Linked DNA regions of Arabidopsis thaliana. The protein of the gene in region 1 interacts with the protein of each later gene in a pairwise test. Each region holds a gene or a part of one and is shown in the gene's direction. Other genes may lie near its edges.

What was found. The genes of interacting proteins can lie anywhere in the genome.
Region 2: the proteins of CPK1 (region 1) and AT4G18205 interact in a protein complementation assay, tested with the Arabidopsis thaliana proteins (one large-scale study listed by BioGRID).

What each region holds. Positions count from the first base shown.
Region 1 is NC_003076.8:1,416,043-1,422,230, reverse strand, and holds CPK1 (calcium dependent protein kinase 1), read left to right. Parts: upstream 1-1,676; 5' UTR 1,677-2,353; coding exon 2,354-3,266; intron 3,267-3,383; coding exon 3,384-3,527; intron 3,528-3,622; coding exon 3,623-3,775; intron 3,776-3,936; coding exon 3,937-4,052; intron 4,053-4,207; coding exon 4,208-4,375; intron 4,376-4,526; coding exon 4,527-4,751; intron 4,752-5,102; coding exon 5,103-5,216; 3' UTR 5,217-5,667; downstream 5,668-6,188. UniProt on the Arabidopsis thaliana protein: May play a role in signal transduction pathways that involve calcium as a second messenger. Phosphorylates the Ca(2+)-ATPase ACA2 resulting in the inhibition of its calcium activation.
Region 2 is NC_003075.7:10,071,923-10,075,909, forward strand, and holds AT4G18205 (Nucleotide-sugar transporter family protein), read left to right. Parts: upstream 1-1,788; 5' UTR 1,789-1,927; coding exon 1,928-1,958; intron 1,959-2,040; coding exon 2,041-3,143; 3' UTR 3,144-3,448; downstream 3,449-3,987. Other genes in the region: PUP7 (purine permease 7), read left to right, coding at 1-1,107; AT4G18203 (uncharacterized protein), read right to left, coding at 822-998, 1,530-1,577, 1,729-1,737.

The sequences.
Region 1 (6,188 bases):
TAATGAAACACTAGTACATATAGACGTTGTGAAGTTTGTTAGCCGTGATTCTATTGGATATTATTTCTGTACTAAGAGAGCATTAGCTAAAATTTCTGACAAGCTTAACTAATTCCAATTGTGTGAATCATTTGCATCATTGCTGATATTTCCTAACTAATATTATGAAAGGTTGAGGCTCGTAAGTTTTTTGCTTATGAACACATTTTTTCAAGGTAAGTTTCTCAATCTTCATGTTGTTGAAACATATGATTCCTAGAGTATCTCTACTCGTACCCCTCTCATAAATCATTGTGTTTAAAGCCGAGCATCTGCATGATATGTAAGGATCTCTTGCGGTTCTCTTCTTGAGTCTCCAAACTCCAGTTGAGATCCCTGGTGTTAGCAATATGGATTTTCTCGAGAATATAGTATTTGATGCTAGGAACAGAAAACCTGGTCAGCCAAAGATTGAGCCAATGTAGGTGTCTTCGCGCATTAGTCAGTTAGATGGTTTTGGACTGTTACTTAGTTGATGGTGCACACTCATATATCTGATATAGAATTGTGTTCATGCAGTTGGAGGATTTAGAGGTGGCGAAAAGAAGCATAAAGAGATTCTTCCATTTCCAAGCGCAACACATGATAAGAAAGGTGAGGGTTTTCTTACCTTATTTTCCGGTCAATGGAAGACACACACTTGAATACCGTCATTTCCCTTTCCCACACTTGTTCTCTATTAGTGTCATAAACAGAATGCCGAATAGGTTACTTTTCATTTTATAGTCATGACTAGGAAATTTTGTTCCTCATAGCAAGATATGGAAACAGTTGTCAATTTAATTTCGTCATAGTGAAAAGGATCAATCAAGGAACAAGTACGGAAAAGATTGAGAATCTCTGTAATAAGGATCATCTGTTTTTGGAGGTCCTTGGATGTTTACTTGATCAGGACGTGGCAGAGGCAATGAACAGACTTTTGTCACCAAAAAACGCTGTTGTGATGATTGATAATCTACTATCAGAACATACTGCACTACATCAAACCAAGTCTCATACACATCATAGTGAGCGTCTTTGCCACAAATCATATCTTCTTAAATACTGATTCAAACCACCATCTCTTGATAACAATAGTGAGCTTCGTTTTTGTTTTAGGCAAGCATTCTTTCCATATCAAATCAATAACAGAGTGTCCAGAGATTCATACCGTTCTATTGCAGTAGGGACATCTCATTGGCTTATCTACTGGAAAAAGGAAGGGTGCTTGAGTGTTCCGTTAGGACCAGCAAAAACAATGGAAAGTGGTGATCATGATGTTTAGAACACCAAACTCGCCGTCTCTACAATATTAGTTCTGGTCTAGGTTTTGATCTTCAATAATAGCTGTGGTCGGAAGGAGTAATTAGGGTAAAACATAAGGGCGAAGACAAGAATGTGTAGAGCATGTGATTTGTTCAAGCTTTAACATGTGGATGTCTTATTTTTAATGACTGCTCTTTAATATGTGGGTTTTGTTTGCGCATTTTTCACTTGCGGGTTATATTTTTCAAAAGTAGTAAATGATGGGACCATTATAAAAAGGATGTTATTAGGACTCCAGAAAGGAAATTGATTTTATGGAAAATCACCTTTTTACCTCAAAGTTTTAATATATTACTAATTAAGTACCCTTACATAAGAAGCTGCGTTGCCAAGATTGAAGAGGGTGGTGGACTTTGTAATCAAAGATTAATTAAAAAGAGAGTTAAGACAAATCTCAGCGGAAAACTCGGCGGTGATAGATAATCAAAACAAAAGAAACGCGTTTTTCAAACTGGTTCAATCTTCTTCTTCGTCTTTCTTCATCGTCTTCTTCTCTATACAGACCTTGACTCTCTCATTAAATTAACAAATGTCCCTACGGTTTATGCAAGTGTAGTGCTATTAAACTATCCCTTTTATTTTCCCACCCAACTCAATTTATTTTCTCATTCTTTCTCTTTACTCTTCTTCAGATCTCTCTGTTTCTTTCTTTGTTGTTGTTATCTGGGGATGCTTTCTACTCTCTGTTTGGTTTCCTTCATTGTGACTTTCTATTTTCTGGGTTTGTTTCAAGTCATGATTTTTCCGATACCCTTTTGATTTTTCTTGCTATTTCTCACCTCTGTATAAGCAAGCTCTCTGCTGTTTCTCCTCATCCAAGTTGGGTTTATCAGTTCAGCTGTGTAGAAATTCAATCGTCTGAGAAGTCCGAGGTTTGATGTCTGATGGTTTTAAGATCGAAAGGATTTGACTTTTATCAGATTAGTAATGAGATTAGATTGTTTTTGAGGTTATTGTAATCAGATCTTGATGCTATTTCTGGTGAAAGAGATTTAAGACAAGTTAGGGAATGGGTAATACTTGTGTTGGACCAAGCAGAAATGGCTTCTTGCAATCTGTTTCAGCTGCAATGTGGCGGCCAAGAGATGGAGATGATTCGGCTTCCATGAGTAATGGAGATATTGCAAGTGAAGCTGTTTCGGGAGAGCTTCGATCTCGATTATCTGATGAAGTCCAGAATAAACCTCCTGAACAGGTCACAATGCCGAAGCCAGGGACTGACGTCGAGACCAAGGACAGAGAGATTCGAACTGAAAGCAAGCCTGAAACGCTAGAGGAGATAAGCCTTGAGTCCAAACCAGAGACTAAGCAGGAGACCAAGTCAGAGACCAAGCCGGAGTCAAAACCTGATCCTCCAGCTAAACCTAAGAAGCCTAAACACATGAAGAGAGTGTCAAGTGCAGGGCTTAGGACTGAGTCAGTGTTGCAGAGGAAGACTGAAAACTTCAAGGAATTCTATTCCTTGGGAAGGAAACTCGGACAAGGGCAATTTGGGACGACTTTTTTATGTGTCGAGAAGACTACGGGGAAGGAGTTTGCCTGCAAGTCGATTGCTAAGAGGAAGCTATTGACTGATGAGGACGTTGAGGATGTGAGAAGAGAAATTCAGATAATGCATCACTTGGCTGGTCACCCTAATGTCATCTCCATCAAAGGAGCTTATGAGGATGTTGTGGCAGTGCACCTTGTAATGGAGTGTTGTGCAGGCGGCGAGCTTTTTGACAGGATCATTCAACGCGGTCACTACACAGAGAGGAAAGCGGCTGAGCTCACTAGAACCATTGTTGGGGTTGTAGAGGCTTGCCATTCTCTTGGTGTTATGCATCGAGACCTCAAGCCCGAGAATTTTCTGTTTGTCAGTAAACACGAAGATTCCCTCTTGAAGACGATTGATTTTGGACTCTCCATGTTCTTTAAACCAGGTTTGATTTCATTGTTACTCATCTTAAAAGATCCACTTCCAGATTTGGTCTTTAACGTGAATAGTGTGATCCTTGTCGAACAATTATTTCTGAACTCGATTCCCTTCCTCTTTGCAGACGATGTTTTTACAGATGTTGTTGGTAGCCCATATTATGTTGCCCCAGAAGTTCTTCGAAAGCGTTATGGCCCTGAAGCTGATGTCTGGAGTGCTGGAGTGATTGTGTACATTTTATTAAGCGGAGTTCCTCCATTCTGGGCTGGTAAGAATTGTATATATACAGATAAGAGATTTGTCACTTTTCCTAACTAGGCTCTGAACAACATCTCTAATCTTTTTGTTTCTTTGAACATTCAGAAACCGAACAAGGTATTTTCGAACAGGTCCTCCACGGTGATCTTGACTTTTCGTCCGATCCATGGCCAAGTATATCTGAAAGTGCAAAGGATTTAGTGAGGAAAATGCTTGTCAGGGATCCCAAGAAAAGGTTAACTGCCCACCAAGTATTATGTAAGTTATTTTGATCTGAAACCTTCTCTTCCAGTTAAAGCGCTGTGATTCTCTTTCTGTTAATTCCATTGAGCATAGATTTCACTACATGAATAAAGTGTGTTGTCATGTAGAGTGATCTACCATCGTTCTATCTCTTATGGAGTTGTGCTTCTTCTCAGGTCATCCATGGGTTCAAGTCGACGGTGTGGCTCCAGACAAGCCTTTGGATTCTGCTGTTCTGAGCCGTATGAAGCAGTTTTCTGCAATGAACAAGTTCAAGAAAATGGCTCTTAGAGTAAGCAGCTTTCCGATGCTAAACAAAATTTAAAACCATATAAAAGAAGTTCCTGTCATAAACATAAGATAGCTACATTTAACCCATCTTCCTCTTGTTATGTGGAAAGAAAGAGACGACGGAGATTAAGTTTCTCTCTTTATGCCTTTTTGCAGGTCATTGCTGAGAGCTTATCTGAAGAAGAAATCGCCGGCTTGAAAGAAATGTTTAATATGATAGATGCGGACAAGAGTGGTCAGATAACTTTCGAAGAACTGAAAGCAGGACTAAAACGAGTAGGGGCGAATCTCAAAGAGTCTGAAATTCTCGACTTGATGCAAGCTGTAAGTTTTAACCGGCATACCAGTTCCCTAACTAAGATTCTGAACTGATCTTGTTATCATTCAAACTTACTCTGTTGGTTGTGGTTATATACTTCTGTTTTTGCTAGATATGCAAGTAATCTGGTTTCTCTCTCATGTGTATATAATTCAGGCTGATGTGGACAACAGCGGAACAATAGATTACAAAGAGTTCATAGCTGCAACATTACATCTAAACAAAATAGAGAGAGAGGACCATTTGTTTGCAGCCTTTACATACTTTGACAAAGATGGGAGCGGCTATATCACCCCAGACGAGCTTCAACAAGCTTGTGAGGAGTTTGGTGTTGAGGATGTCCGCATAGAAGAACTGATGCGCGATGTTGATCAAGACAATGTAAGTTCCTTTACACCTTTTATCATCTCATCCTAATTATAAAATGACTTGAATACTTCTCAACAATGATCAAATTTCAATGGATTATATACATTTTACTCATAGGAATCTCACTTATATGATCCTCTTAAATCCTTGCATTATTAAAACTACACTTCACTTACCGAGTTTTCATGTCTGTTTTCTTGGGAAAACTGAGACGATTGAGTATGATTCTTGTTAAACCTAGGGGGATAGTAGAAACTCTCTTTCCTGAGAAACAGTGAAGTAAACCGAGTTTTCATGTCGGTTTTGGATTGATATATTGGTTGAATGTTGATAATGTTGAACATTTGAATTGTTGTATTGTAGGACGGGCGAATAGACTACAACGAGTTTGTGGCGATGATGCAGAAAGGAAGCATCACAGGAGGACCTGTGAAAATGGGTCTAGAGAAAAGCTTTAGCATTGCTCTTAAACTCTAGTTTCTCAGTCTATTTAAAAGTACAAAACTAAAGCCAAGAAGACAAAAGAGTTTTCTGATAATATATACCATTTTGATTATGTTGAAGACATATGCACACAGCCAAGATTCTCTCTTGCCCTCTTTTGGATTCTCTCAATCTTTTGGATGAGGTTTTGTCTTAGACTTGTTTTGGAAACTTTGTTGTATTGTGTTACTTCTTGAGCATATATAGTCTTCTAACATTACAAACCACGATTTCTTGTCTGTAAGTAAATTCAAAGAGTCAAAAAACTTGAACACGATTTGGAAATTTTGCGATAACGATCATCAAATTTTTGTGAGGGCTTTTTCTTGTAAAGCAAAAAGTTTGAGTATTTATGTGAAAATCGTTTAAAAGTTGAGGTACTTCTATGTAATTTCCCAGTTTTCTTTTTTTGAGAAATAAAATAACTTAACCGAATTTCAATTAATTTGTTGTCCGAATTATATAATTCAAGTCCTTACCGAATCTAAGCTGAAATCAAATTAAATTATAAGCAGATAATTAAATTGGTCACCGAAAATAATAGCCACCAAACCTCCTAATCCTAAACACGTAGTATTTTGAGATCTTTATTTTCCATTTACATAATTAATTTCTTTTTTATGATTGGAAAAAACGAATAAAATGATCTTTTAGCTAGTGTTTTTGGTCAACATAAATACCTAACTTACTCTTTAGAACAACAAAAAAAATGGAGGAAAAATATAAAAGTGGGTCTCACAATCAAGTTATTTCTCCAAAAATAAATAATTTAAAGCTTGCGTTTGTTGTTGACATTTAAAAATGTTTATTTTGGGGTACGACTTTTTAATTTATAAAATTATTAAATTGGTTTTATTTAAATAAACTGATTAAATTGTCTATTTCAAAACTGCGTCCCTATCCCTTTTAAATTTCCTAATTTCAGTCCACAAAACGTGATCATGATTACTGTATCATAAAGTTTTA
Region 2 (3,987 bases), on another chromosome or scaffold:
GAGGTGGTAACTGAATCATCATCATCAGCTGTGCCTCAAACCGAGAACTATAAAAGGTGGCTTCGTGTCTCCATATACGTAATCTTTGTCCTCTTTTGCCAGCCACTAGCTACAATTCTGGGTAGATTGTACTATGAAAATGGAGGAAATAGCACATATGTGGTAACACTTCTTCAACTCATTGGCTTCCCTGTACTGGTTCTGTTCCGCTTCTTTTCTCGAATCAGGCAACCCAAATCAACAGATACAAATTTCAGTCAGTCCCCTTCCTTCACCACCCTTGCATCGGTTTACTTGTGCACTGGACTGCTAGTGTCCGCTTATGCTTATTTGTCTGCAGTAGGGTTGCTCTACTTACCAGTCTCTACTTTCTCCCTCATCTTGGCCTCACAGTTGGCCTTCACTGCCTTTTTCTCATATTTCCTTAACTCGCAAAAGTTCACTCCTTTGATAGTCAGTTCTTTGCTTCTCCTCACTGTATCCTCTGCTCTTCTTGTGGTCAACACTGATTCAGAAAACTCAACTAATGTATCTAGAGTACAGTATGTGATCGGGTTCATATGTACCATCGGTGCTTCCGCTGGGATTGGACTGTTACTATCTCTGATACAAATGCTCTTCAGGAAAGTTTTCACGAAGCATACATCCTCAGCAGTCACGGACTTGGCCATTTACCAGTCTCTAGTTGCGAGTTGTGTAGTTCTCATAGGACTTTTTGCAAGTGGAGAGTGGGAAACTTTGCCAAGTGAGATGAGAAACTACAAACTCGGGAAAGTGTCATATGTTTTGACTTTAGCCTCGGCAGCTATTTCCTGGCAAGTCTACACTCTTGGTCTTGTGGGATTGATCTTCGAGTCATCCTCTGTGTTCTCCAATTCCATAACAGCTGTGGGATTGCCTATAGTTCCAGTTGCGGCAGTGATAGTTTTCCATGATAGAATGGACGCATCAAAAATCTTCTCCATTATTTTAGCTATCTGCGGCTTCCTTTCATTCGTCTATCAGCACTACCTCGACGAAAAGAAGTTGAATACTAGCCACACAAGTGCTGTAGGAGATCTTCATCTACCTGTTGAGGAAGGTCACACAAACATACAAAGTGTGTGATCAAAGCATATTTCCAGTATAAAGCCAATGTATCTTTCTTTTTTTCCCCTCAAAGGCCAAAGCCAATGTATCTTTGTACAGTTTGAGCATAAAAAACGTGTAACGCTACTTTGCAAACTAGTCAGTCATAATAGCTAATAAGTTTTGTACATATGATACCAATAATTTCAGAATATTTTTCTTCTATATATACCAATAAGTTTTCTTAAAGATGCAAATGCAATACTCTGCTTTGTAATTTTGCAATGCATTTGAAACACCGAATCAAGAGCAAACAACGAAGTCAGAGAGACAAATAGGCTAAAACAGAGCTTTGAGCAAAAAAAAAAAACAAGTGAACAGATATAATACCCACTTACTTGGAAGCCACTGACATAACAGATAAACAATGTAGTGACTTGCAACAAAACTCCTTAAAATACCAAAAACGTATACTCTAGGAGCTTGGCTTCTTGTATCTTTGTTGACTTCTGATTTAACGTCAATAGACACTGAGGAAAAAGAGTTCTCTTAGAGCCGCCATTCAAAAGTTTTAAGAATTTTAAGTCAAGTGTAAGCAAATAAGAAAGGTCAATGGTCAGCATGAGACTACTAAATTATGATACTGCTGTCATCTATCACCTGACCCATCTTTATTATTATACACAAATTAGTAAAAGTCTGCCAAGTTTGATTAGTGCAACTTGTATCTGGGGTATTTAGTTACTATAATAAATATCATTTTGTGTATAAAGAAAGGTCTCTTCTGTATCTAAAAGACATATCAAACGAAAGAAATCAATAAACACAATATTCTTTCTTCCAAATTTTCTCATTTCTCATGGGCATATCTCAAGTACACTATTGCAATGGTAAGCAAAAGGTACCTGATGACGTTAGATCATTTGATCCTCTTTCGATGAAATATAATAACCACGAGTGTTAATTTTTCAGGTGACCAGAACTTAGAAGCAAACCTTCTAGATCATGAGGAAACTGAATCATTTTCAGTACCTCAAACGAAGAACTGTAAGAGGTGGCTCCGTGTCTCCATATACGCAATCTTTGTCATCTTCTGCCAACCACTTGCTACAGTTCTGGGTAGACTGTACTATGAAAATGGAGGGAAAAGCACATATGTGGTAACACTTCTTCAACTCATTGGCTTCCCTGTACTGATTCTCTTCCGCTTCTTTTCTCGAATCAGGCAACCCAAATCAACAGATACAAATTTCAGTCAGTCCCCTTCCTTCACCACCCTTGCATCGGTTTACTTGTGCACTGGACTGCTAGTGTCTGCTTATGCTTATTTGTCTGCAGTTGGGTTGCTTTACTTACCAGTCTCTACTTTCTCCCTCATCTTGGCCTCACAGTTGGCCTTCACTGCCTTTTTCTCATATTTCCTTAACTCGCAAAAGTTCACTCCTTTGATAGTCAATTCTTTGTTTCTCCTTACGGTTTCCTCTGCCCTCCTCGTGGTCAACACTGATTCAGAAAACACAACAAATGTATCTAGAGTACAATATGTGATTGGGTTCATCTGTACCATTGGTGCTTCCGCTGGGATTGGATTGGTACTATCTCTGATACAACTGCTCTTCAGGAAAGTTTTCACGAAGCATACATCCTCAGCAGTCCTGGACTTGGCCAATTACCAGTCTCTAGTTGCAACTTGTGTGGTACTCATAGGACTGTTTGCAAGTGGAGAGTGGAGAACTCTGCCAAGTGAGATGAGAAACTACAAACTGGGGAAAGTGTCATATATCTTGACTTTGGCCTCAGCAGCTATTTTCTGGCAAGTATACACTGTTGGTTGTGTGGGATTAATCTTCGAGTCTTCTTCTGTGTTCTCCAATTCCATAACTGCTGTGGGACTGCCTATAGTTCCAGTTGTAGCAGTGATAGTTTTCCATGATAAGATGGATGCATCAAAGATTTTCTCCATCATTTTAGCTATCTGGGGCTTCCTTTCATTTGTCTATCAGCACTACCTCGACGAAAAGAAGTTGAAGACTTGCCAGACAAAACCTGTTGAGGAAGAAACACAAACTTTATGAAACAAGTTGTATCGAAGGTCTCAGAAACAAACATACATAGTTGTACACAGTCATGTAAATAACCTATATAAAGCTTGTATGTGTAATATCCGTAATGGTCCATGCAAATGGGATATGTATGTCGCTCATATTTCAGGTATTTAGAACTTTTATTCAAAAGAGTATTGTGTAATACGAGCAGAGTGATAAAAGCAGTCATTTATTTAACAGAAAAACCATGTCAATTTTGTGATACTTTCATTGTGTGAGTGTGAAACCCGATAAAAATTGACCAGTTAGCATAACTTACAGATATGTCAATGCAATATTCTCCTTTCTAGTTTTGAAATGCACCTAAATCTTGGGAAACAAGAACAAACAGCAAATCATGTATAATGAGAGATAGAAGATAATTTGTCAGATTGGTCCAACATCCTTGGGGAAACAGAGCTTTGAACAAAAAGTAAATGACCAGAAATAATACCATTTTATATAGCGACTTCCTCTGCCGTCCAGTATTAAGTTGTTGCGAATGTCTTCTCTTGAAAAGATAGGCGAGACATAATCTTTAGCTAACGTCAGCATCATCTTGATGGCAAAAACTTCATGACTAGCCATGGAAACCGAAGTGTGTACCCAATCCAAATAAATTTAAAAAGACAAATAACTTTTAGAAATGTCGTCCTCATCAAGATCACAGAATACTACAACTTGTGTACACGTTCATACATATGCGTATGCGTGTTAAGTTTCTATTTGTCTATGCGTATGGGGTTCATGTCCTCCACATAGTTGCAGAAGAAAGTCTGAATGAATATTGCCTACACATAATTTCCTCCTAGACTTAACTCATCTCTTGGTCAAC